Linked DNA regions of Diceros bicornis minor. The protein of the gene in region 1 interacts with the protein of each later gene in a biochemical or structural test. Links are inferred from orthologs where the notes say so. Each region holds a gene or a part of one and is shown on either strand. Other genes may lie near its edges. The genes, in order: NF2, DCAF1 and SPTBN1.

Evidence for each region.
Region 2: the proteins of NF2 (region 1) and DCAF1 form a complex in vitro, tested with the Homo sapiens proteins (3 studies listed by BioGRID, with this or other methods). The link is inferred for Diceros bicornis minor from reciprocal best matches to the Homo sapiens genes NF2 and DCAF1.
Region 3: the proteins of NF2 (region 1) and SPTBN1 form a complex in vitro, tested with the Homo sapiens proteins (2 studies listed by BioGRID and IntAct). The link is inferred for Diceros bicornis minor from reciprocal best matches to the Homo sapiens genes NF2 and SPTBN1.

What each region holds. Positions count from the first base shown.
Region 1 is NC_080774.1:23,186,848-23,194,878, reverse strand, and holds the start of NF2 (merlin), read right to left. Parts: upstream 3,030-8,031; 5' UTR 2,624-3,029; coding exon 2,510-2,623; intron 1-2,509. UniProt on the Homo sapiens protein: Probable regulator of the Hippo/SWH (Sav/Wts/Hpo) signaling pathway, a signaling pathway that plays a pivotal role in tumor suppression by restricting proliferation and promoting apoptosis.
Region 2 is NC_080741.1:52,254,947-52,262,322, reverse strand, and holds the start of DCAF1 (DDB1- and CUL4-associated factor 1), read left to right. Parts: upstream 1-4,295; 5' UTR 4,296-4,464; intron 4,465-7,376. UniProt on the Homo sapiens protein: Acts both as a substrate recognition component of E3 ubiquitin-protein ligase complexes and as an atypical serine/threonine-protein kinase, playing key roles in various processes such as cell cycle, telomerase regulation and histone modification.
Region 3 is NC_080751.1:31,959,635-31,967,619, reverse strand, and holds the start of SPTBN1 (spectrin beta chain, non-erythrocytic 1), read left to right. Parts: upstream 1-4,965; 5' UTR 4,966-5,128; intron 5,129-7,985. UniProt on the Homo sapiens protein: Fodrin, which seems to be involved in secretion, interacts with calmodulin in a calcium-dependent manner and is thus candidate for the calcium-dependent movement of the cytoskeleton at the membrane.

The DNA.
Region 1 (8,031 bases):
TGAGCATATTTATAATGTATACTTTGAAATTTTTTTGTTAAATCTGACATCTAGTAGCTCTCACAAGCAATTTCTGTTGCTAGATTTTTCCACCGTACGGATCATACTTCCCTGTTCCTTTGCATGCCTCATAATTTTTCATTGGAAACTAGACATTTTAGATAACATATTATAGCAACTCTGAGGACTGCCCCCCCCCGCTCCAGGGCTTATTATTATTATTTGCCTGTTTATTTGTTTAGTGACTGGCGAGACTGTTTTAGTGAAATCAATTTCCCTCATACAGTGTTAAGGCCTATGTTGTTGCTCCTCAGGGAGGTGCATCTCTGGGTATGCCCACAGTCACCCTGGATGACAGTGGTTTTAGCAGGGCTCTGTTCCTCTCCTTCCCTGATCATGCCCAGCTGTTAAACTCCACTCACTGTGGTATATTATTCTATTATTTTCAACAATGCTCAGGGTGTAATTTGCTCTACAAAGTAATCCAATCAAAAGGTGGCTTTTTGAGGAAACAGTTTCTGAAATTAGTGTTTGATATTTGTTCTGACGCCAAGAGGGCTCTTCCCAGTTGTCTTATTCCCTGATTCTCTCCTGCAAACTACTTAGCCTACAGTCTAGGCTGTTATCTTCATTAGATCTACAAAAGTCCTCCCAATTGTCTTTCACCAAAACCTCCACTGTTCCTGAGAGTACCCTTAAGCATAAACTTCTCTGCTTTGTTGCAAATGAAGTCACTACCTTTGGGAAGAGATTAGAAACCAAGGGTTTTAAAGCCTGCTTCTCCCTCCAGGCAAAATCTCTGAGCCCTTGGTGGAAGGGGGGATGGGGGACACACTAAACTGAAGTCTTTTCAGTTTGCCTCTCCTGGCTGGAACTACCATCTCACAAACTGAGGTTAGGGACAAGAACAACTGGGGTCCAGTATTCTCAGTGTGCCACCAGGGTACAGCCCCCATTCCATAAGTAGGAGCTGGGTGGAAGAAGCAAGTTCCATCTTTCAACTTCACACACCCAGGACTTAGCCTCAGCAACAAGTAGCCTTGGGCAAGATGAGAAGCTCTGAAGTCCTGCTCCTCCTGGGAAGAAAGCCACCTGACTGGGAGCCAGGAGTAGAGGGAGCCCTGTGTTCTGGGTTACAGCAGTCTAGAGTGGAATTTCTACCTTGCTGAGCTGGGAGCAGGGAGGGTGGTAGCAGTCTTGGTTCAAAGACCACAAACTCTCACCTTTCTTACCAAATTTTGATAGATTTTCTTTTTTTTGTGAGGAAGATCAGCCCTGAGCTAACATCTGATGCCAATCTTCCTCTTCTTGCCGAGGAAGACTGGCCCTGGGCTAACATCCGTGCCCATCTTCCTCTACTTTATATGGGACGCCGCCACAGCATGGCTTGACAAGCGGTGCGTCGGTGCGCGCCTGGGATCCGAACCTACAGACCCCAGGCCACTGCAGCAGAGCGTGAGCACTTAACCGCTATGCCACCGGGCCGGCCCCTTGATAGATTTTCTTGAAAAGATGTTTCTTCACTTGATGTTTGCCCTTAGGACCATTTCCAGAGGGTTTAAATTACTGTTTTTTCAAATAATTTTTACCAGTTTTACAGGGGACCAGCTCAGTGGAGCTCCTCACGCTGTCCTGATGGAAGCTGACCCTGTCTAAGGCTGCTTTTGTGCTACATGGTAGAGCTGAAGAGGTGTGAGTAGTTGCAACCGATACCCTACAGCTCAAAAAGCTGAAAATAATTACTATGTGGCCCTTTACAGGAAAAGTTTGCCAACCCCTCACCTAGGTCACTGCTGCCAATGCCAATCCATAGACCACCCTTTGAGTAGCAAGGACCTAAACTACTTGAGAGGCAGTACTGTATTGGCTAAGAGCTTGATTCAAAACCTTACTTCACCATTTACTAGATATATGGTTTGGGGTACCTACCTCATTGGGTTGCTGTGAGAATTAAATGTATGAATGCCTGGCACTTAGAAAGTATTCAATACATGATAACTTATCATCATGATAGAAACTCTACAGAAAGTTTCAGACACCATCTCATTCCTCAAACAGTTTTTTTCCAGAAAATTTAAGTTTTGGAAAAGAGAAACAAGTACAGACTTTCCAATAAAATGACATGCAACTTTTAATACCAGGGGTACATAATATTATCTAATGAAGTAAAACCTCTATAGAGCTGGAGCTGAACCTGCCACTGAAAACTAGAATTCGCTACCACGGATGCTTCCAGCCTCTTGCAATAACAATGAATGAAAACCTTCAAGAAGTGCTTCCAAACCCAAAATTGAAAAAAGCAGCAATTATCTTTAATTTGAGGATTTGGGCCTAGATGGTTCCTTCTGGTTCTAGCAGTCTCTACCTATACCCAGAGATGATATAAGCAGAATCCCTCAAGCTTCCACCTCGACTGTCACCGTGGCAAGGGCGCCCGGGTTGGTGGGGCCCGGCGAGAGGATTCTGGGCTACCCCTCTCCGCAGCCCGTCGGGGCTGCCGGCCGGTTACCTCGCAATTGAACTCCATCTCGGCGTCCATGGTAACGATCCGCACGGTGAACGTCTTGGGCTGCTTCCTCTTGAGTGAGCTGAAGCTCATGCGGGAAGCGATGGCCCCGGCCATGGCGCGGGGCTCAGGCCCGGGACCCTCGTGCCCCGAAGCCTGCGCTCTGGGCCTGTTAGCCCCCCTGGAGGAGCCGCACAGGCCTCAGAGCCACCATGGTGGCCGGCCGGCCGGCCCGGGAGCTGTCTGGGTGGCGCGGGCCCCCAGCGGCCAGCATGGACCGCGAGGACCCTGCCCCGGGAACGGAGAGGGGACTTGGGAGGCGGGCCCTGACGGCCGCGGGCAGGGAACGCGAGCGCGGACCGACGGGGCGGGTACGGCCCGGCGCTCCGGGACTCGGGCCGAGGACGCTGGGGACGCCCGTGTATCAGCCCCTAGACAGCGGCGGCCCAGACTCCGGGCGCCTCTCAGCGGCCGACGGAGGTCTCGGGGCCGCGCCGCAGCCGGGCGCGCACGTGCGCGCGTGGCTGTCACCGTCCTCACTCCGCGCACCCGCGGGAAGCGTCCCCTCCCCGCAGCCCCGGGCCTGCTCCCCGCCCCGCCCTCAGGCCCCCCAGATCGCTACACACAGCGCACCCTAACAGGCGGCCTCCGCCCAGACGCCACGGTTGGCTGAGAACTCTGAGGAAGGCGGGACTTTCCCTGCTCCGTCCAGCCTTCTTCAGAACGACTCCACCAATTGGAAGTTCCGCTCTGACCGGCGGCGGAGGCCTGGGCTCGGCGTTGAGTGGCTATAGCGGCAGTCACTCCGAACGCTTTTGTTCGTAGGGGTACGCCTACTCTAGCAAGGCTGGTTGAGGCGGCGGAGCCCGGCGCGCCTTTCCTGGGAAACCGCGTAGAGACTGGTCCAGGGGCGTGGGAGTTGGCCTGTATGGACCGAGTACGCGCCGTGTGTGGCGCCCCAGGACGTCGTGTTTCGGACACCCGGAGGCTAATCCTGTTTGGCATTTAATTAATTACATTTATTGACCTCTATGTTTCTCGAAAACTTTTGAGTCAGTTGTGGAGGCCGCTTAGGTTGCCAGCAGTCTCCTCCAGATCCTTCTGCCTCTCTTTAGGAGAAATATTATTACCAAAGGGGTGGGGGATAAAAATTGTACCTACTTCATGGAGTTGTTGAAAAATTTAAGTGAGTTAATATATATAAAGCTTTAGAACGGTGGCTGGCGCATACTAGGTTGAATCCTATGAAATTGCTGTTTTTGTAGATCAAAAACGGCCGAAAAAGGGAAGCATTTTTTATTTTGTTCTCTGTGGTTTCCATTTTCGAACCATTAACGTGCATTTATTTTTTTTAAATGTCATCAAAGGTTATAACGTGTGTGTATGATGGGGGATTATAACTTTATGTACTTAAAAATAAATTCTAAGATAATTGAATAAAGACAATTTCATGAGTTTTAACTGAACAGTAAGGGCTCCATGAGTGTTAACCCTCATTAGCATCGTCCCCACCCTACAGCTGAAGAAACAGGCTCAGCATGACAGAGCCACTTGCTCCCAGTCACCCAGATAATGAGAGGCCAAGCTGGGACCCAGGGTGATCCCACTGGGTATTACCACTGCACTGCCCTGCTTCCCTGGTTGTGGCTTCCAAATTGCTCCTGTTGCTGCCTGGAGAAATATGAACTACAGTTCTGGAGCACTCAGCAGACACTTGCTGTAACTATGCTAATAGCATAAGTCTGGCTCTTCCCCATGGGCGCCTACAGCACCAGGAAGCACCAGCCAGGCCCCAGGAGTCACTTGCTGGCACGCTCAGCAGGGCTGCTGTGGTGGAACATTATGTCTGTCTACTCACCAAAAGATTGTTCAGGGCAATATGGGCTTGGTGTGGGAGTGTCTTCATTTTCATCGCTTCAGTTCTTACTTGCAGGAGGGAGAATTGGATTCTCCTATAGTCTCCCTACAGGGACAAAAAATCAGGGTTTTAACCCAGGGCCAAGGCTGCTGACAGAAAATAAGAGGCTCTGGGAACCCACTGAGGAGTAGGAAGAGGAGGTGGATCACACAGCAGGGGCTAAAAATGATATTGATGGCCAGTAATAGCTCGCTTTTATGGAAAGCTTACTAGGTGCTAGGCACCGTGCTGATTGGCTAAACATGCCAAATTTAATGTTCCTGGGGGGACATCCAGACCTGGATGTCCATATGGGTCTGAATCTCAGAAGGGAAGCCAGGGCCAGAATTAAAATAGATGTGATGGAATATTATGCTGGCATTAAAAGTGCCATTCACAAAGAATAAACAGAGATGATAATAGTACCTACCAGATAAGGGTTTGAGAAGGAATAATTCAGATAGAGCTCGTTACAAAAGACCTAACACACAGACACCAGTTAAAATAAATATCTATTGAACGAATAAGTGAAGAATGTGAGGAAATACTATGGTCTCAACTATGGAAACAATATTAATAGCTACCATTTATTAAGTGCTTACCATCTAAGGTATTCTGCAAAGGATTTTGCATGCTTTATTTCTTTTGATCTTTATCAAGATCCTATTTGGTACGTATTGTATTATATTCCTAGTTTATATATGAGGAACTTGGATAAAGCTGAAATTAGGTAATTTACCGAAAATCGTAATTGGTAGAACTGCAATTTGCATTCAGGACTGTTTTAATCCAGATCTTACCTGACTTACATTTCATTCCTCCATTCTTCCAGAAGATCAGTGGTTCTCAAAGTGAGGTCCCTTCCCTCCAGGGACATTTGGCAATGTCTGGAGATTTTTTTTCTGGTTGTCACAACTAGATGGTGTGCCTGTCCTCTATGGCTAAAGGCTAAGGATGCTGTTGGGGCTGGCCCAGTGGCGCAAGCGGTTGGGTGCACACGCTCCGCTGCCATGGCCCGGGGTTCGCCGGTTCGGATCCCGGGCGTGCACCGATGCACTGCTTGGCAAGCCATGCTGTGGCGGCGTCCCATATAGAAAAAAGTGGAGGAAGATGGGCACGGATGTTAGCCCAGGGCCAGTCTTCCTCAGCGAAAAATGAGGAGGATTGGCAGATGTTAGCACAGGGCTGATCTCCTCACAAAAAAAAAAAAAAGGCTAGGGATGCTGTTAAACATCCTACAAGGCATAGGACAACCCCGTACAACAAAGAAGTATCCCGCCCCAAGTGTCAATAGTGCCAAGATAAAGAAATCCTGCTGCAGAGCAATGGTTCCTTTTTTTTGAGTCAAAAACAATCTATTGAGAATCCAATGCAACCAGTGGACCCTTTCCTCAAACGAATGCACACATGCACAGAATTTTGCATATTGTTTTAGGAGATTCATGGAAAGACTCATCCAAGCACATCTATGAACCCCAGAATAAATCAGCTCATCCCCCAGATTAAATCAACTTATCCTCAATGCTACATGTGAGTTCTAGATTATGACCCCTCTGCCAAAAACTGGACTCCGTCGTTTTTGGCCACTTGCAGAATTACTTTTACTGCACATTAGCACAAAGACAGTGTCCTGCACTGAGGGTGTTATAAGAAACAGCCCTGAGGAACTCTGACTGTCTTTACAGTAGAGATTTAGCTGACAAAGGTTCACACAGCATCCTTTCTATGAAGACCCATGAAAAAAACAACTCTTATGCCCCAGTACTTGTATTTCTCATGAGAGGCTGATTTGCTTTTTATTTTTTTAATAACTTTTATTGTGTTTTTCCTTCTTTTACAAGTAATCCATATGCATTATAAAAAGGAAACAAAAAACGGCAGATAAGCAGTGTGGTAGGCATAATTCTAAAATGTATCCCAATGACCCACAGCCTTGTATAATACTCCCCCTTGAGCATGGGCAAGACCTACGGATATGATGGGATATTATTCCTGTGATTATGTTACTTTATATGGCAAAAGGGATTTTTGCAGAAGTAATCCCTAATCAGTTCAGTTCATTAAAAGGGAGATTATTTTGGGTGGGGCTGACCTAATCAGGCGAACTCTTAAAAGGAGGTCTAGAGGTCCAGCATGATGGAGAGAGTCAGAGAGATGCATTCCTGCTGGCTTGGAAGAAAACAAATATCCACGTTGTGAAATGCCTACGGGGCCACAGTGGAAGGAACTCTGGGTGGCCTCTGGGAATGGAGAGTGGTCCCCATCTGGCAGCTAGCAAGCAGAGGGACTTCAGTCCTACAACCACAAGCAGCTGAATTCTGCCAACAACCTGAATGAGCTAGGAGGAGAATCCTGAGTTCCAGATAAGAACCGTGATATGGCTGACACCTTAATTACAGCCTTGTGAAACCCTGAGCAGAAGATCATGCTACGCCCAGATTCCAGACCCGTGACACTGTGAGATAATAAATGTAATTACCACTAAATTTGTCATAACTTGTTACACAGTAATAGAAAACTGATACAAGCAGAAGGAAAAACAAATTTTAGCTTGCATAATCCACTGGCCCACTACTTTCATATAGTACATACTTTTTTGTGATTTGCTATTTTCTCATTCATTAATATATTATGAATATTTTCCCATATCATTAAGTATTCCATAATATAATTTTTGAAGAGCTGCATAGGATCCCATGTATGGGTGTAATTTTTTTTCTCTCTTACACACGTTGTGAACCATGTTACCAATCGTGTTTCTTTCTTGGAGTTTGCTGTTAGGAAGCTCAGAGCCAAATTTGAAGTCAGCCTCTGACAATTGTAACTGGCCTTGCCTTATCTTTGGCTTCATCTTATTTTTCCTGCCCTTATGCCTCACTTTGCATTATTTCCCCACCCACTTACTGTTTATTTGTTGCACTAGCTGTATTTCCTTTTATGAAGTTATGGATCCCTTACTTACAGGTTTTTTTTGTTTATTTATTTTTCTTAGGTCAATACTTTATATAGCAAGTGTTTTTTACATATATATAATTTTTAAACTTTTTTTTAGAACTAATATTAGACTTAAAGTTTGCAAAAATAGTATTCTCTATATCCTCACTCAGCTTCCCCTAATGTTAGCATACCTACTTAATCACAGTACAATTATCAGAATCAAGAAATTAACATTGATACACTACTATTATCTAAAGTAAAGATTCTATTTAAATGTCACCAGTTTTTCCGCTACTGCCCTTTTCTGTTCCAAGATCCTATCCAGGATCCCACAAAGCCTTTGGTTATTTCTCTTTAGTCTGTAATAGTTTCTCAGTCTTTTTTTTTTTTTTTTATGACCTTGACACTTTTAAAAAGAGTATCGGCCAAATATCTGTTGAATTTCTCTCAACTCGGGCTTGTCTTGTTTTCTCATGACTGGACTGATGTTCTAGATGTATTTTTGTAAGCTCACCACATTCCTGTTGGAGTGCGGTAGAGATAGAAACCAAACAAACTAAGAGGCTCTGGCCTGTCTGCAGCCTGAGGCTCAGGAGGTGACTTGAGTCATTAATCATCACCTGGCCCAGGTGAGCTGGGACCTAAGATTTCTGAGGCCATGGCCAGGACATGTTCCAAAGCCCTATCCTGA
Region 2 (7,376 bases), on another chromosome or scaffold:
CAAACAGGCAATGCCAAAAATCCAAGGGCTTCTCTCTCCAATGCTGACTCCACTGTTGTTTCTTCCCAGAAGGATTTACAATGCCAGGAACCTGAGACAAAAGAGGCTGGAGTGCTTTCTCCTTACCTTCCCTGCCCTGTCTCCCAACCTCTAACTCTGACCTAGAGCATAGCCTCTGGGAGTCAGATGATAAGTGGCAGCCAGGCTGGGAGATCTGACAGGTCCTGGGAGTACCTGGACGGCAGAGTTTGGCCCTCTTCATGCTACAGCCCCTGTTTGTGCTGGGCAGGTCCATTGTGAGGGAGGCCCAGAGTATACCATCTCTGGCCACCCCCTCTGGCCTCTACTTTGATTGTGACATCACCATCCTGCCTGAGAACCACATGGAAGGAAGTGGGTGTGCTCTGGGTAGGGTTTCCAGATGCAAGCTTCATCCCAGCAGGGAGGCAGGGACCATGGGCTGGTTTGGGGAAGGTGATATGTCTGGCATCACATCCAAGGGGCTCCTTGGCTTCACCCTTGATCAGTGGTAGCCTTTGCGGGCATGAGGAGGCCTAGGAGCAGATCCTCTTAAATGCACCCTCCGACACCCTCAGTTTTCAGTTCTCTGCTGAGAGTGAACAGGTGATCTCCAAGAGTGGCTACTCTACTATTTCCCAGTGCTTCCGTAAATGTGCCCTAGGATTTTTCTGATAAGGAGCTCATTTCTCATTTAAATGAGGAAAGCCTGAGCTCTTCCAGCAGGCAGTACTGGAGGAAAGAGGAACCAGACCCGGATGAGGTGGTCCTGAAGAACTGCGCTGGGACTGCTGCAGACTGAGAATAATCCAAATAGGAATAGCTATCATGTAGTTAGCACTTACTGTGTGCCAGGCCCCAAGCTAAGCACTTTATATGCATTATCGCATTTAATCCTCATAACAATGCTAGAAAGGAGGTATCATTATTTCTATTTTCCAGGCAGGGAAACTGAAGCTTGAGAGGTGAAGCAATTAGGCCAAGGTCCCACAGCTGGTAAATGGGAACACCAGTATTAGGATGCAGGCCTGTCTGCCTCCAAAGCTGGACTCAGCTGCTGACCTGTCTCCTTTTGCAAACTCTTCCCAATAAAGAGGAAAAACTATTTTCTCATCTCTGACCATCAGCAATAGGGTTAAAGAGAAAAGGGTAGAAAGGGAGATTTGAGCCTTATATCACCCAGATCATCAGCTTTTAGATAAGGGAGACTTGACTGCTTGGCTTATCTAATTTTTAATGAGACCCATTGGGAGGCAGCTGTTCTGATTTGTTTCTAACTATTTTGCAACGATTTAAGGGAGGCCCTGGGGGCCACAGAAGGGAGTCCTTGTGGTCTGTGGCAGAGCAGTGGTTTTGAGTGGGATTGCCAGATAAAACATAAGATGACTGGTGCACTTTTAATTTCAGATAAACAATAATTTTGAAAATATAAGTATGTCCTAAATATTGCATGGGCCTCCTCTGTGGGCTCCTTGCTCTGGCTGGAGCCCTGGTATGTGGAAGCTGGGGTGGCTCTGAGGGTCACTGCTTCATTTCCCACTTGAGCCTCAAGCCCCTCTATGAAGTTGTGCTTGTGGGAGCAGGAGGTGGGGACTGGTTTCTGGAAACTGCAGCTGCTGTGATCACTGGACAAGGTGGTGGCTTAAACTATGGGAACTCTGAATTTCTCCCTCTGTAAAACGAGAGTGGTGGGCATGGATGTAGTCACACAGGAGCGGTTCCTTTGCATACCTCATGTGTAATGAGGGTAGTGTTCCACTTTTCTAGGAGGCTGTTGGGGCTCCCAGGCAGGGGGAAGTCACTGAGTAAATGAATGGAATTCTCTCTTTGTCCAGACTGGGGTTCCCAGAGTCTAGCAGGCCCGAGCCTCTCCTTGGCAGCTCCTGTGACTCCTGGACACTTGCAGTAGCAGTCTTGTTCAGCCAATAGCAGAGCGGGAGTGGATGTGGGACAGTTGGCCTCACCTCCTGGCCCTGGGGAATTGCAGGAGGAGGCACAGGAGTTGTGGTGGCACCAGGGTAGGGATGGGCTGGTGGGAGCACCTGGCTCTGGTGAGACTGGGAAGTAGGTGATGGGAGAGAAGGGTGATAGGGTGAAGAGAGGGAGAAAGATGAGTAGTGTCCTGAAGCCCAGAGGACTTGATGCTATCGATTTTCCTACCCCAGTGCATGGGCATGCTTGAGGGTGAGGCCGGGTGGAGCATAGCTAAGTGTGTAGCCCTTGGGGCCAGGACTGGGCTGCTTTTGCCCCTTTTGCCCTTTCTCTGACACTGGGCAGTCCTGCAAGCATTACTCCTTGCCCTTTTGGATGGTGGCTGCTGCTTTCTGAGGCACATCATAGAGTGGGTGGGCACAGGCAGAGCAGGGGGGACAGATTCCAGAGATATTCTTCAAGGAGGCCAAGGAATATCTTTCCAATGATTCACAGTGGGAGTCCCAGAGTGGGAGTCTGGGAGTGCCTGCAAGTGTAGGGCTGTGGGTGTGGGTGCTGGCAGGGGTAAGGGGGCTACAGGAGTTACAGAGCACAGAATCTGGACGGAAAAGCTGCTAGACAGGCTTTCTATAGCTCCTGGTCTGCTTCCCAGCCTCCTGGGCCCTGGCTTCTCCAAACCCCCTCTGCGATGCCCCTCACTCCCATTACTGACCCAGGGCTCCAGGCTGGGTTTCTGAAGGAGAGTAGTGCCATCTGGTGGCAGGCTGAGGCAGTGCCAGGAGCAGGCGAGCTGGACCCTGGGTTCCCACAAGGGCTCTGCCTTTCAGGACCAGCGGGGAAAGTCACCAAGGCGCTGGCTAGACCAAGGACAGAAGGAGGGTATCTAAGGCTTGAACACTCTATCCTCATGTATTTTGGGTTCATGGCCCAGGGAGGCATGGCCGTTAGGAAAGTGACTTAAGGAAAGTCAGCTGAAGGAGTGCTGGAGGACAGGCATAGGAAAGTTAATGAGTCCAGCCTCTGAACCCACAAAACTAGTCCCCATTCCTTGGGTCACCTCTCTGGGCTTAAATTTCTCATCTGTACATGTGGCTAACCAAATCTACCCTGTGGAGTGGTAGTGAGGGTTATATGAAAAAGTGTGGGTAAAAAACTTGGCTCAGAGCTGAGCCTGCTGTAAGGTTAAAGAAAATGGTAGTGACAATTATTGATATAGGCAAAGTTCCAGAAGCACAGAGAAGAGAGCTGTGTGTTGTGGTGGGTGAAAGGGTTGCAGAGAGGTGACATGTCTGCAGTGCTGCCACTCCACATTCTAGAATTTTGTGCCTGAACACCTGCTCCAAGTTACACACTTAAGTGAAGGAGAGAGGTCTGTTTTCTGGAAAGAAGGGGAATGGAGTCCAGTGGGGAATGGAATCAAGCTTCTAGGCTCTGGCTAACTTCTTACTAGTTACAGAACCTGAGCATGGCAGCAGGCTTGCTGTGTCCTGTGTTCCCCCATGAAAGTGTTGGCTGTGAGGACTCCATAGAAATGCACAGAAACTTGCTCAGGACTCCCAGGGAGACAAAAGCTGGGTAGCATGTTGTGAGGGAGAGATTCTGTTAAGCTGTGGAGTCACATTTATCTTTCATGTCCCTAAAAAGGGATCCCTGAGTCAGAGTCAGGGATAGTTCTGGTTCTGCTCCCAAGCTAATTGGTTGTGTGATGCTAGGCAAGTCACTCAGTCTCTCTGGGCCTCATTTTTCCCAGCTGCAAAATAAACGAATTAGATGACCTCTGAGGTCAGCCCTGCCTTACTCTATGTCCTTTTGATTTTTTTTCCTTACCTAGGATAAATATTTGTTGATCCTACAGGCTAGGTCTTGAACAGAAAGACAAAGAAAACCAGTGCCTTGTATTTAATGAGTGCTATGATTTCTGATATGCTTGCCAGAAATATTTTCTTACATCCTGGTATGTTCTAGGTATAATGGGGCAAACGAGAGAATACAACAAGGACTCCCCCCTGTCACACAGGGCAGAAAAGGTACTGACAAGGTATCAAGCCCTAACAGCCCTGGCTTGGGAGCATTGAGTGCCTCACTTTTCGCTGCCGCCTACCGAAGCAGCCAATGAGTACACAGCAGTTGGTGTTTATGCTAAAAACTACAAATTCCAGAAGTCAATGCGCGAGGGCGAAGTGCTTACGCGCAAATCAAGATTAGTGGGCCCTGCCCCTAGAAGCGGAACTTCATTTCCCGGCGGCCCCGGGGCTCGTCGATATTCCTCCGTTGGCGCTGGCGTTCTCCTCCTGCCTCCTGCCAGCAAGCCCCGCGCCAACTCGGGGCGCGCGCGCGCGCGCGCGGGGGGGGGCGGGGCACGTAGCACGCGAGTGACGCATAATATGTGGGCCGTTCCGGAGCCGTGGTCGCGCTGTGTGTGAGTGAGGGAGAGTGAGTGCGGGACCTGAGGCGGTGTGTGTGAACTGTGGCCACTGGCGGGGTCAGGGGGGAGCGGCGGAGCCGCCCGGGAAGGTGAGTGGGGAAAGGAAGGAGACGGCTCTCTGGGAGGGGCGCGAGGAGATAAGGCGCGTGGCGGTGCGGGCGGGAGAGTGGGCGCCGGGCTGGGGGAGGGGCGGCACCTGCCTGGGCCGCCGGCGGGGAGGGGGCGGGCCGGCCCGCTGGGGAGGCTGGGCCCGGGGCCTGACAGGACTTTTCCTCCTCCAGATTCTTGGCTTGGGGGCGGGGCCTCCACGTTCTTCCTCCAGTCCGCGAAAGCAGCTTTCCGAGAGTAACTCTTCTGCTCGGAGTGGGGGGCAGGACTGTGCCACCCCTACCAGGAGGAAGGGCGCCTCTTATTCCCCTCGTCACCTTTTTCTTCCCAATCCTCCCAGTCTCGGTTCCGTACGAGCTGGGGGGCTCCATCTTCCTTGCCGTACGGCGGGCCCCTTCCCAGACTGTCTCCGCCTCCAGCTCCAGTCACCTGGGCGGGCTCTCCCCTCCCTCGGCCTCGTGCCACCTCCCCTTGCGTGGCCCGGCTCTCGGACCCGGGTTAGGGGGGCGGAGCTTTCCGCCCAGTTCTGTCACACCGAGGGTGGAGCGGAGGGGTGGAGAGAGGTGTGCGGGGCTTGCAGCGTGGAGCCAAACCTTCCAAGTGCCCACCAAGCTTCCCGGGAGCCTATTTCTGGGGGTTTTATAGTTGTTTTTAACTGTGGTGTCAGAGGCATTTGCTTAACTGGCTCTTCTCTTCCTAGATGCTGTCCGTGTCACTTCCTCTTATTGCAGTGTTAGCGCTCGGGTTTCACATTTGTTGAAGTGGTTTTGGAGTGTTTGTAGTAGTTCTTTTTGAGTCCCAAATGACTCGTCCTTGTTCACGTCATGTTGGCCTCAGTTTTTCCTTACTCTGTCTTTTCAATGATGTCTTTTAATTAGTCTACGTGCTTTAATTATTAATTTATATTAGCAGCATGTTCCTGTTCTAAACGCTTTGTTAATATACAGAGTGAGGTTCATTGACAGTGTCATTCTGTAATTTTCTTTCTCCAGTTTACTGGAGTTTACCTTTAAGGTTTATATAAGCTTGTATATTTAGACTCTTTAGGAATTCGTTTGGTATTTTTCTGCTTGTTGCTGTCGAGATTTGGGTTTTCTATATAGCAGTTTTACCTTATGCGCTTTCCAGCGGTAATATATTTGTGGATATTGAGATAATAGATACAGAATTTGGGGAATATAAAGGAGATCATTTTATGCTCAAAATCTCTTGAGTGGTTGCTGAGCAGTGTTCTGCTGTTCTTTCTGTTGTACAGTTGTTAAATTTAATAGAGGAGGAGTCTGGTAGAATGAACCACTTGTTAGTTTGAAGTGACTGAAGTTGATTTATTACCAGTTTTCTTACATTGTTTTTGTAAAGGAGATGGTCATGGACAGGAATAGACAATTGTTACACATGATCTTATATGTCATGCTAATTATTGGATAAATTTTATTTGAAGTTCCAAACTTGGATTTTTTTCCCCCATTTTTTTGTTTTTTTAAAATAAGGAAGAACGCTTTCAGATGTTTGTTTCAGGATTGTAACCTTGCAGGAATCTGTCCTTAATGTGGACTTTATTTTAGGCTTTGGGATAGTTTCTGTTGAATGCCATTCAGTATTGTGTATTAGAAGAGGACAGATTTTATGGTTTAAAAAGTTACGAAAGGTTACAAAATAGTGGAAAAATTGTAGAGCTGGGGTAATAACATACAGAGAAAAATCTTTCTCTTATCTTTAACCCTCAGAAAGTCAATTACTTAACACATGATAGATATTATCCTTTCCTTGTGTATTCTTCCAGGGATATTTTATTCTAGGGACACACACACTCTCTCTCACACACACACTTTGCTTTTCTCATTTGACAATATATTTGAGAGTTGGTTCAAATTAGGAAAGGAAATGTTTCTTAATTTTTTTCTCTTTTTGTTATGAAAATTTTCAAACATACTAAAAAGTTGAAAGAATAGTAAAATGACACTTGTTTATCCATCCAGATTCAACAGTTGTTACTATTTTGTCATATTTTTTTCTATTTATAAATGTGGTGTATATTTCTTTATTTTGTGGAACCGTTGGGAAATAAGATGCAGAAACATCATACCCCTAAATACCTTGGCAGCCATGCTTTAGAAGAAAGACATTCTATGTATTTTTTTGTAGGGCTTTATATTATTCCACTGTATGAACAGTATTATCATTTTACCCTCACAAGAACCATTTCCATTTTACGGAAAAGGAAATTGAGATTTGGAGAAGTTAAATAACTTGACCGAGATCTCACAGGTTTGTCCACAGAGTTGGGATTTGATGCTTGAAACCCTTTTCTACCGAGTAACACTTGGTTGGTTTTGGGGCCCTCTCTGAGCCCATTTCCTCATTTGTAAAAAAGGGGAAGGTTGGTTGTGAAAATTCAGAATAACGTAGTGAATTACTTAGCCAAATGTCTGTCCCGTACTATTATTCACTAAGTGGTAACTGTTGTGTCACTATAGGGCAGGCTGTAAATTCTGCATACCACTTAAAGCACTCACTTTCAAACATAGTAAATTGATTAATGCACCTTCATTGTTTTGTGTATAACAAGATGACTGCACCTTTTACATTTTTTATTAATAGTTTTTCATTGATACTAAAATGAATTATCATTGATATTATTGTTTTAGTCTATTGTAAGTTTATATTTTCCCTGGGCAAGTGATTATTCTCAAAATTATAATTATTCTCAGGCATAATTAATCAGAAGTTTTGAAAATGATACCAGAAGTATGTATGTGTCTAAATTGAACTTGAAAATTTTAGTATTTTACTGTGCTTGTGCTGACCTTTATTAGAGGTAGTATTTTCTTTAAACTTTCCCTTTATGTGTTCCACTAGGCTGATTGCTTAAGTTATCCAAAAGGCATTCCCT
Region 3 (7,985 bases), on another chromosome or scaffold:
GCCATGGACATCAGTCAATACACTTACAACACAGAGGGAGTGAAGAGTGCAATCCAACAAGCGGGTTAAGTGAAGAAGCATTAAGAGAGCATCTTCTCTACTATTCTAGAGGTCTAAATTCAGAATTACTTTAAGAATTTTAAAAAAATTGCGGTAATAGGGGCCGGCCTGGTGGCATAGTGGTTAAGTACGCCCGTTCCACTTCCGTTCGCGTTTTGGTGGCCCGGGGTTAGCAGGTTCAGATCCCAGGTGTGGACCTATGCACCACCTATCAAACCATGCTGTGGCAGGCATCCCATGTATTTAAAGTAGAGGAAGATGGGCACGGATGTGAGCCCAGGGCCAATCTTCCTCAGCAAAAAGAGGAGGATTGGTAACAGATGTTAGCTCAGGGCTAATCCTCTTCACCAAAACAAAACAAAACAAAAAATTCTTTAATAAAAAGAAAATTGTGGCAACATATCCATAACATAAAATTTGCCATTTTAACCATTTTTAAGTGTACAGTTCACTGGCATTAAGTACATTCACATTGTTTTACAACCATCACCACCATCCATCTCCAGAATTTTTTTCATCTTGCAAACAGAATTACTTTTTAATAATTAATATGCAATGACCAGACACATAGCTCTGATATACTAGCTTCTAAGCAGATATCTCTGGCACTTAGTAGCTGTGTAAACTTGGGCAACTCATTCAACCTACTAGTGTCTCAGTTTTCTTGCCTATAAAATGGGGTTAATATCTACCCCACAGAACTGACAAAAGGACAAAATAATATGACATTTGCTAAAGCACGTTAAAAACTGGAAAGTATTTTATAGTCGCTGCTTATGATTATTAAAAGAAAATTTGAAGATCGTTTATAGAAAGCTGAGACTGTTTATTCTGATCATTTTATGTTATTTCTGTATATTTAGATTACCATATATTCAGATTTATCACATATATATTTTACTTATTTATTGATTGATTCTATCCCCTACTAGAATGGAAGATCCATGAAGGCAGTGATTTTTTTACTGTTTTGCCCAGTGCTCTATTTCAGATCCTAGAACAGATTACGGCATATACATTTCTCAAATAAATGAAAAAATGAATTATTTTATACAATAAATGTATTGTTAGTACTCAAAAAATACTCACTCATAATAATGACAGTTTAAACATGTAAGTCTTTAAGTTTTCCCAGGGCAAAATTAATACATGTGAATAACCAAATGGAACATTTCTAATCTGAGGAAACTTCCCAGACTAGCTCGGGGTTAAAAAAAAGTCGTTTCAGAGTAAATAGAAATGAAAAAAATTTATTCAAGTTTTCAAAATGTGTTCTGATTTTTAAATTTTAGGCTATTATCAGTACAATAAAAGATGGATTTTAATTGGGTTAATATAACCAAGGAAAGACTTAAAGTAGCCGGCAGTGGCGCACAACAGTACTGTGCATCAATATCTGGTTTCAGATGTAGCCTCATGACTTGCTTTGGCAAATGAAATGTGAGTGGAGGAAACCTTGCATCATTTCTGGGTGGAAGTATTTAGTTGCTGGTACTTAACCCTCCATCACACTCCCCCTACAGTGGAGATTGTGGAAGCGCCCATTGACATGGAGGTACCATAATATTAAAGTATTCTGGAAAACTGAGCTGACACATGGAAGACAGCTTCCCCAGAGAGTATCTTGAAACCACAGTTGGCTTTATATAAGTAATAAATTAGCTTTTGTTAATTTGGGACTTGCATATTATACTGAGATTTGGGGACTGTGAGTTATAACATGATAACCTAGTCTATAGTGACTACTATATATGTTGACAAGATTTCCTCCTACATTTTGAATGGAAAGTTAAAATAACAATTTATTTCTGCAAAATTTTTGTAATAAAGTACTGCCTCTATGGGAGTTAAAGCCATATATAATCACATGGTTTTAAAAATGGAGAGGGGTATGTTACAGACATGATATCAATGAGTTCTAGGTTCCTTTACATCAACCTTGATGCTAATGTGAAGTTACACTTCAGCAAAGCTGCTTTTGAGATATCTGAGAATAATTCTTTGTTACCATCATTACTGCCCAAGGCTTTTTATCTTTTTCTAGATTCTTGCTTTCCACAGAGATGTATTTCTTCTCCAATAATCTCTTCAGACTTAGACTGTCTTTTCTTTGACCTGTTACTTTTTTTTTTGGTCGGCGGTACACTGGGCTGTCCTGGGTGATGATATTTTTCCACCAAAGGGTAAGAATTTGAAATTGTGAGGCAGGTATTAATAGTGAAATTTTGAATCCTTGTCTTTCACATTTTTGGAATACTTACTGCCACTTTACTAGAGTACCTTGCTAAGGTTATGTGAGGCCTCCCTTTTTGAAGGAAATTTTTAAAAGTAAGTGGGAGTGAGCGGCCGGCCCTGTGGCTTAGCAGTTAAGTGTGCGCGCTCCACTACTGGCGGCCCGGGTCGGATCCCAGGCACGCAGGGAGGCACCGCTTCTCTGGCCATGTTGAGGCCGTGTCCCACATACAGCAACTAGAAGGATGTGCAACTATGACATACAACTATCTACTGGGGCTTTGGGGAATAAAAGGAGGAGGATTGGCAATAGATGTTAGCTCAGAGCGGGTCTTCCTCAGCAAAAAGAGGAGGATTAGCATGGATGTTAGCTTAGGGCTGATCTTCCTCACACACACACAAAAAAAATTAAAAAAAAAAAAGTAAGTGGGAGTGGAATGGGGTAGGGGAGGTGACTCATCCATCAAATGAAGATTATTCAAGTACTGTTATCTGCGATAAAGGAAGCAGTCAAGAGACACCAATTCAGAATCACACTGGAAAAATTTCAACAGGCATTTCCCAGTACTGCCATTGTTTTCTTTGGTTTTCATCAACACTGTGGGTGGGGAGGTGCTGGGGGCCGTGGCACAAACTAAGTGAAAGGGAAACAACTCTCATTCCTAGTGGATTTCCTGTATTACCTAATGAGGGCAGCCCTTACATGCCGATTCTGTTCCATTCAATTCAACCAATATTTTTTGATCACCTTCTAAGTGCCTGCTATGTACAGTCAAAGAACCTGGCCCTTGGACAGTTCCCCTTCTGGCTATGTTAATCAATCTTCTGAGAAAAATGTTAAATTACTTGCCTTCATTGTTTTTCATAAATATCAAATGTAAACATTGATACAAACATTCAAACTGATGGTGAATGCCTAAAAGGAAGAATCATTTTCACTTTGCTGGGACAATTTCATGTAGTTTTATTTTAAAATGTTCATTTAAAAAATATATACAGGGGCCAACCCGGTCGCACAGTGCTAAGTTCTCACGCTCCGCTTTGGCGGCCCGGGGCTCGCAGGCCTGATCCTGGGCGTGGATCTACCCACTGCTCATCAAGCCAGGCTGTGGCAGTGCTCCATAAACAAAATAGAGGAAGACTGGCACAGATGTTAGCTCAGGGACAATCTTCCCCACCAAAAAGAGGAAGATTGGCAACAGATGTTAGCTCATGGCCAATCTTCTCACACATACACACACACAAAATATATATACACACAAATATAAACCCATCAGGCTTCTGGTCTATTGATTTGAAATATAAGCATGACCCAAACTATTTGGCTGCCTTTTATTTCTACTTTTTATTCAGGGGTTGAGGGTCAGATCTCTAGGGAAAAAGGGGCTTTTTCAACCCAGAAAAGCCTTCTTCCTTCTGAAGGCTTACAGTGCCGCAGTTGGACACCTACAGACCAAGCAGAAAGTCACTTTCTCCAGACTGCTTTCTAAAGAGCGTTTCTATTCATGGCCCTGGTGATGACACCATCTTTTTTCCCCAACAGTGGCGGTTCCAGAATTTCTACATAGCCTTGTGGGGGTTGACAGGGTGGGCAAGCTGGTTGGGAAGGGGCACTGACAGTTGAGAAAAATTCGAGAAAAGGTCCGGAGTCCGTCTCGTACTGTGGGTAGGGGGAGAACTCCGGCCCCTCCAGCCATCGCAAGGCCTCCACTGCAGCCGGGACGTCCCCTCTCCGTAGGAGTGGCTCCGGAAAAGCATCGCTTCAGGTGAAAGTAAGCCTGCGTTTGGGCGAGAGGCAGGAGTTGGATGAATCACTTGTGGGGTCTGTTCCCAGCTACCCCGAGGGAAAGGATGAAAAAGCACTCACAACGGAGGAAGATCTTGACTTCACCGAAGAACCACCTCCCTCCCCTCATCGCCCCAAGGTTTCCCACGGAGAAGTCACTATCGCTCTTCATCAGGCTGAGCGGAACCTATAAGGCAACACCACCTAGATCTAAAACCAAACCAGCCAACCAACGCTCTAAACCCTCCCTCAGCACGCTCTCTCCATCGCGTTCCAAACGCAAACATCGCGGGTGAAAAGAGGCTGCACAAGTCACGCAGAAAATTAAGCTGCGCCTTTCCATGGCGATAATCGAATTAGCCTCAAATTAAACGTGAAATTGGCCCTCGCCGGCTGTGGGGACAAAGCCCTCATTGTCCCTCTGCTCCGGTAGCGGCGGCGACGGTGCCCATCCTGCCCAGGCCAGCCCCGGCCAGCCCCCGCGGCAGGCGACGAGGTCCGCGCTGGGCGGGGGCAGAGCCTCGGCGGGGGAAAGCGTGGACGCGCCCCAGGATCCGCTCGCGCGCGGAGCAGGCTCTGGGTGAGCAGCTGCGGGGCTGCCAGCAGGGGCGGGGGCAGGCGAGAGGGAGCGACCGAGGGAGGGAGGAGCGGAGGAGAAAAGAGGAGAGCGGAGGGTGTGCGGGAAAGAGCATGTGCGCGCGCGTGTTGCGCGCACCCGGCGCCCGCGCCCGCGCGCTCTCTCTCCCCGCCCCTCGCCCCCTCCCTGCGCGCTCCCTCCCCTCCTCCCGCCCACCTCGCGCTCCCGCCCAGCCCCCGGAATCAGTGCAGCTGTTGCCGTGCAGGCTGCGGATTCCTCCAGTCCCTCCCTCGGCCGCCTCTCCGCCCGGAGCAAGCGCGCAGCCCCGCGCAGCAGCGCCCACTGGTCCCGTCCTGTGAGCCCCGGCCCCAGCCGCGGACAGCCCCGCGGAGTCGCCTCCCGGCCCACCCGCCCGGCCGCCAAGGAGCGGGAGGAGGACGGGACTCCGGCGCCCCCACCCCTATCCGCGGGAGGTAGGTAGGGGGCCTGAGGCTGGAAGATGCCAACTCACTGGGGCTGCCTCCCGGGCAGCGGGCGGGAGGAGGGGCGCGGGCCCAGGCCGGGAGGACGCAGCTGCCCTGCCGCTGCCTTGCGCCGGGGGAGCGGCGTGGGGGCGGGGAGGCTGCAGAGCCCGGGCGGGGGCGGCGCGGGAAGCCTGGGTCTCCAGTGCTAATTATTGCTAGGGTTATGCGGGGCAGAGGGCGGTGGGCTCTGCAGTGAGGCGGCCGCAGACCAGCGGTGCGCACCGCGGCCGCCCAGCCTCATCCCCGGGCGCAGTGGCGCCGATTCCTTCTCCCTGCGTCCGCCGCCGCCTCCCTCCAGCCAGGCGCAGCGGCCCCTGGCGCGGGGGTGGGTGCGGAGTAGGCTGCAGGGAAGGTGTATTTTCAGGTGGCCTCCCTCTAGTCCCGGCTGGTGGGGAGCGGGGCGGCGTTGACAGGGCCGGGCTCTAGGCTTAACGGTACGGGGGATGCTGCCAGGCGTGGTCCGAACTGCGCTGCGCTGCAGCTGAACCGGAGGCGGCGGCCCGGCGCCCCTCACCCCCGCCCATCCTCGCGCCCGCTCCCCCCTCCGCGGCCGCTCCCCGCCCTCCCTGTCGTCCCCACTCTCCCAGTGCTGGGCGTGAGCCGCCTCGGGGCACCGAGCCGCCGCTGCGCCCGCCCTTGAGCTCCTGCCACCCTCTCTTCAACAGGTTTGTACCAGCGCGGAGCCCCTCCGGGCCTGCCTTTGGGGTGGTAGGCTGGAAGCCCCTCTCGTCATCATTCCTCACACCACGCTCGTGGCCCTCTTTTTCGGGGGGGAGAGACTTCCCTTTGTTTTTCTGTTAGGAAAGATGCCCAGTGCTTGCCATCAGATGGGGAGGGGAAATGTGGGGATCAGTACACAAACCGTGTCCATTTTTGCAGTCAAAAGCCAGGCCCGATAGTAAGTTAGGAGAGGACGAGTGTGGGGGTGCTTCGGTGGGGGAGAAAAATGGATTCGGTGGGGTTTATTTGGGCGGGGATGTGCTTTTTTGGCAAGATGGATGGCTCACGGTGCCCTCGCCGTGATGCAGCACAATGCAGCAGTATCGCAGCCTCCCCTGGTTCTCGCTGGCGGGGCTTGGCACGGCCACTCGGCGCCTGCGGCCCCCGCCCGGCCCCACCCAGGCCCGGGGCTGCCCTTGGCCGAGACTCGGAGCTGCGTCTACCTTGTCATGCTGCTTCAGCTGGATGTGGCGTCAGGAGGACCAGGTCACCTCGCTGTGAGGGGGGAGGCTTCTCTTTGGGCTGACCCCCTTCCGCCCCGCCTGTTGGGCTATGCTCGGATGAAGGGGCGCCCTGCAGCGCTAATGCGGGCAGAAGGAGCCGGCCTGCGGCTGCGGACCGCAATCTGATCTCCGACCGAGGGACCTGAACCGTAGGGAGGGGCAGCAGGGAGGACGGGGCCCAGCGGTGTGCGGAGGCAGTGGTGCATTCGGTATTGGGAGTCGCAGCGTCTTTCTGTGGATCACCCATGATCTGTAACTACAACCCCACTATCCTTCGGTTTCTTCATATGTGAAAGTTCATGTTTATTAATTGGAGCTTCGCAGCTATGACATTACTGTACCTCGGTCTTTGGTCAATACGGAGAAGGATTTTTTCCTAGAGGAAACCATTTTTTGAAATGAAGCGATTGATATATTTTAGTTTTTGTGTCCTTGAGGCATTTCTAAAAATACTGACATTCAGTAGATTGTTTTAAAAGGAACCTATTTTTTGATGGATAGTAAATGGTTTCTTTAACCTGTATTTGCTTTGTTTTTATTGTTTGCTTTTTCTGTAAATCAAGTACAATTACATATTTGGATTCTTTATTAAGGATTATTAGGTAAATGAGTGTCATAATTGATGGTAAGTACTCAGATTGATTTAGATAGGCAAGTTGTCTCCAGTTATGACTAATGGGATTGTGATGGTAACTGACTGCGTTTATGTTTGTTTATATGTATTTTTCGTATAAATATTTTTTGCAGATGTGGCTGGGGAGGGGGTTGAGAAAGGCAGACCCCCAAGGCCGCTGTGGCTGTTATCTGGTCAGAAGGAGATGGTTCCCTATGTCTTGTTTAGTCTAGACTAGTACACAGGGAATTTTTCTTCTAAATGCCACTTCGACAATTCATTTATTCAGTGTGGAATGGCAAATGAGATGCATTTCAAATGTCACCCCAGCTCTTCTAAAATGTATAGGTGAAAAAGAGAATTTAGTATTCTAACTGGAAGGGAAGGTCAGTGTTGTAAAGCAAGGGCGTGTCTACTTTTATTTTTTAAATCTCTAATGAATCCAAATTAGTGGCATTTGATTTTATGTGGCTCTGCAGAGTAGAACTGAATGCAAATTGTGTGGTTTATGTGCATTATTTTGAGTTTCTCTGATAGAGGGCCATTAAAATGTAGAACTTTTTGGGTTTGGCCTTCATTGTTGTGCTGGTTGTATAAAATCATGTTGCATAAAGATGTTTGGGAGTACTGTTCCCATGGATTATCCAGACATTTTGGATTTACTACTGTGTTGTAAGAAAATATCCTGTGTTGATGTCACAGGAGGTTTAGCTGTTCTGACTTACACACCAGCTGCAGAATTCTGTTAGATTAAGCTCTTTGTAATTCTGTGTCTCTGAACTGACCAAAACCTTCAACTGAGAGGATGAGAAGCGTTGCGGCAGTGAAGAAACTGCCAGCGCCTGGTCATCTTCTGTTGTGCAGGCTTTCTGTGAAGAGCATCTCTTGGGTGAGACTAGTAACAACTGTCTGAGATGTTGTAGGAGCTAGTGAGAAGGCCTCACTCTCTACTTGTGACACATTCTTAGCA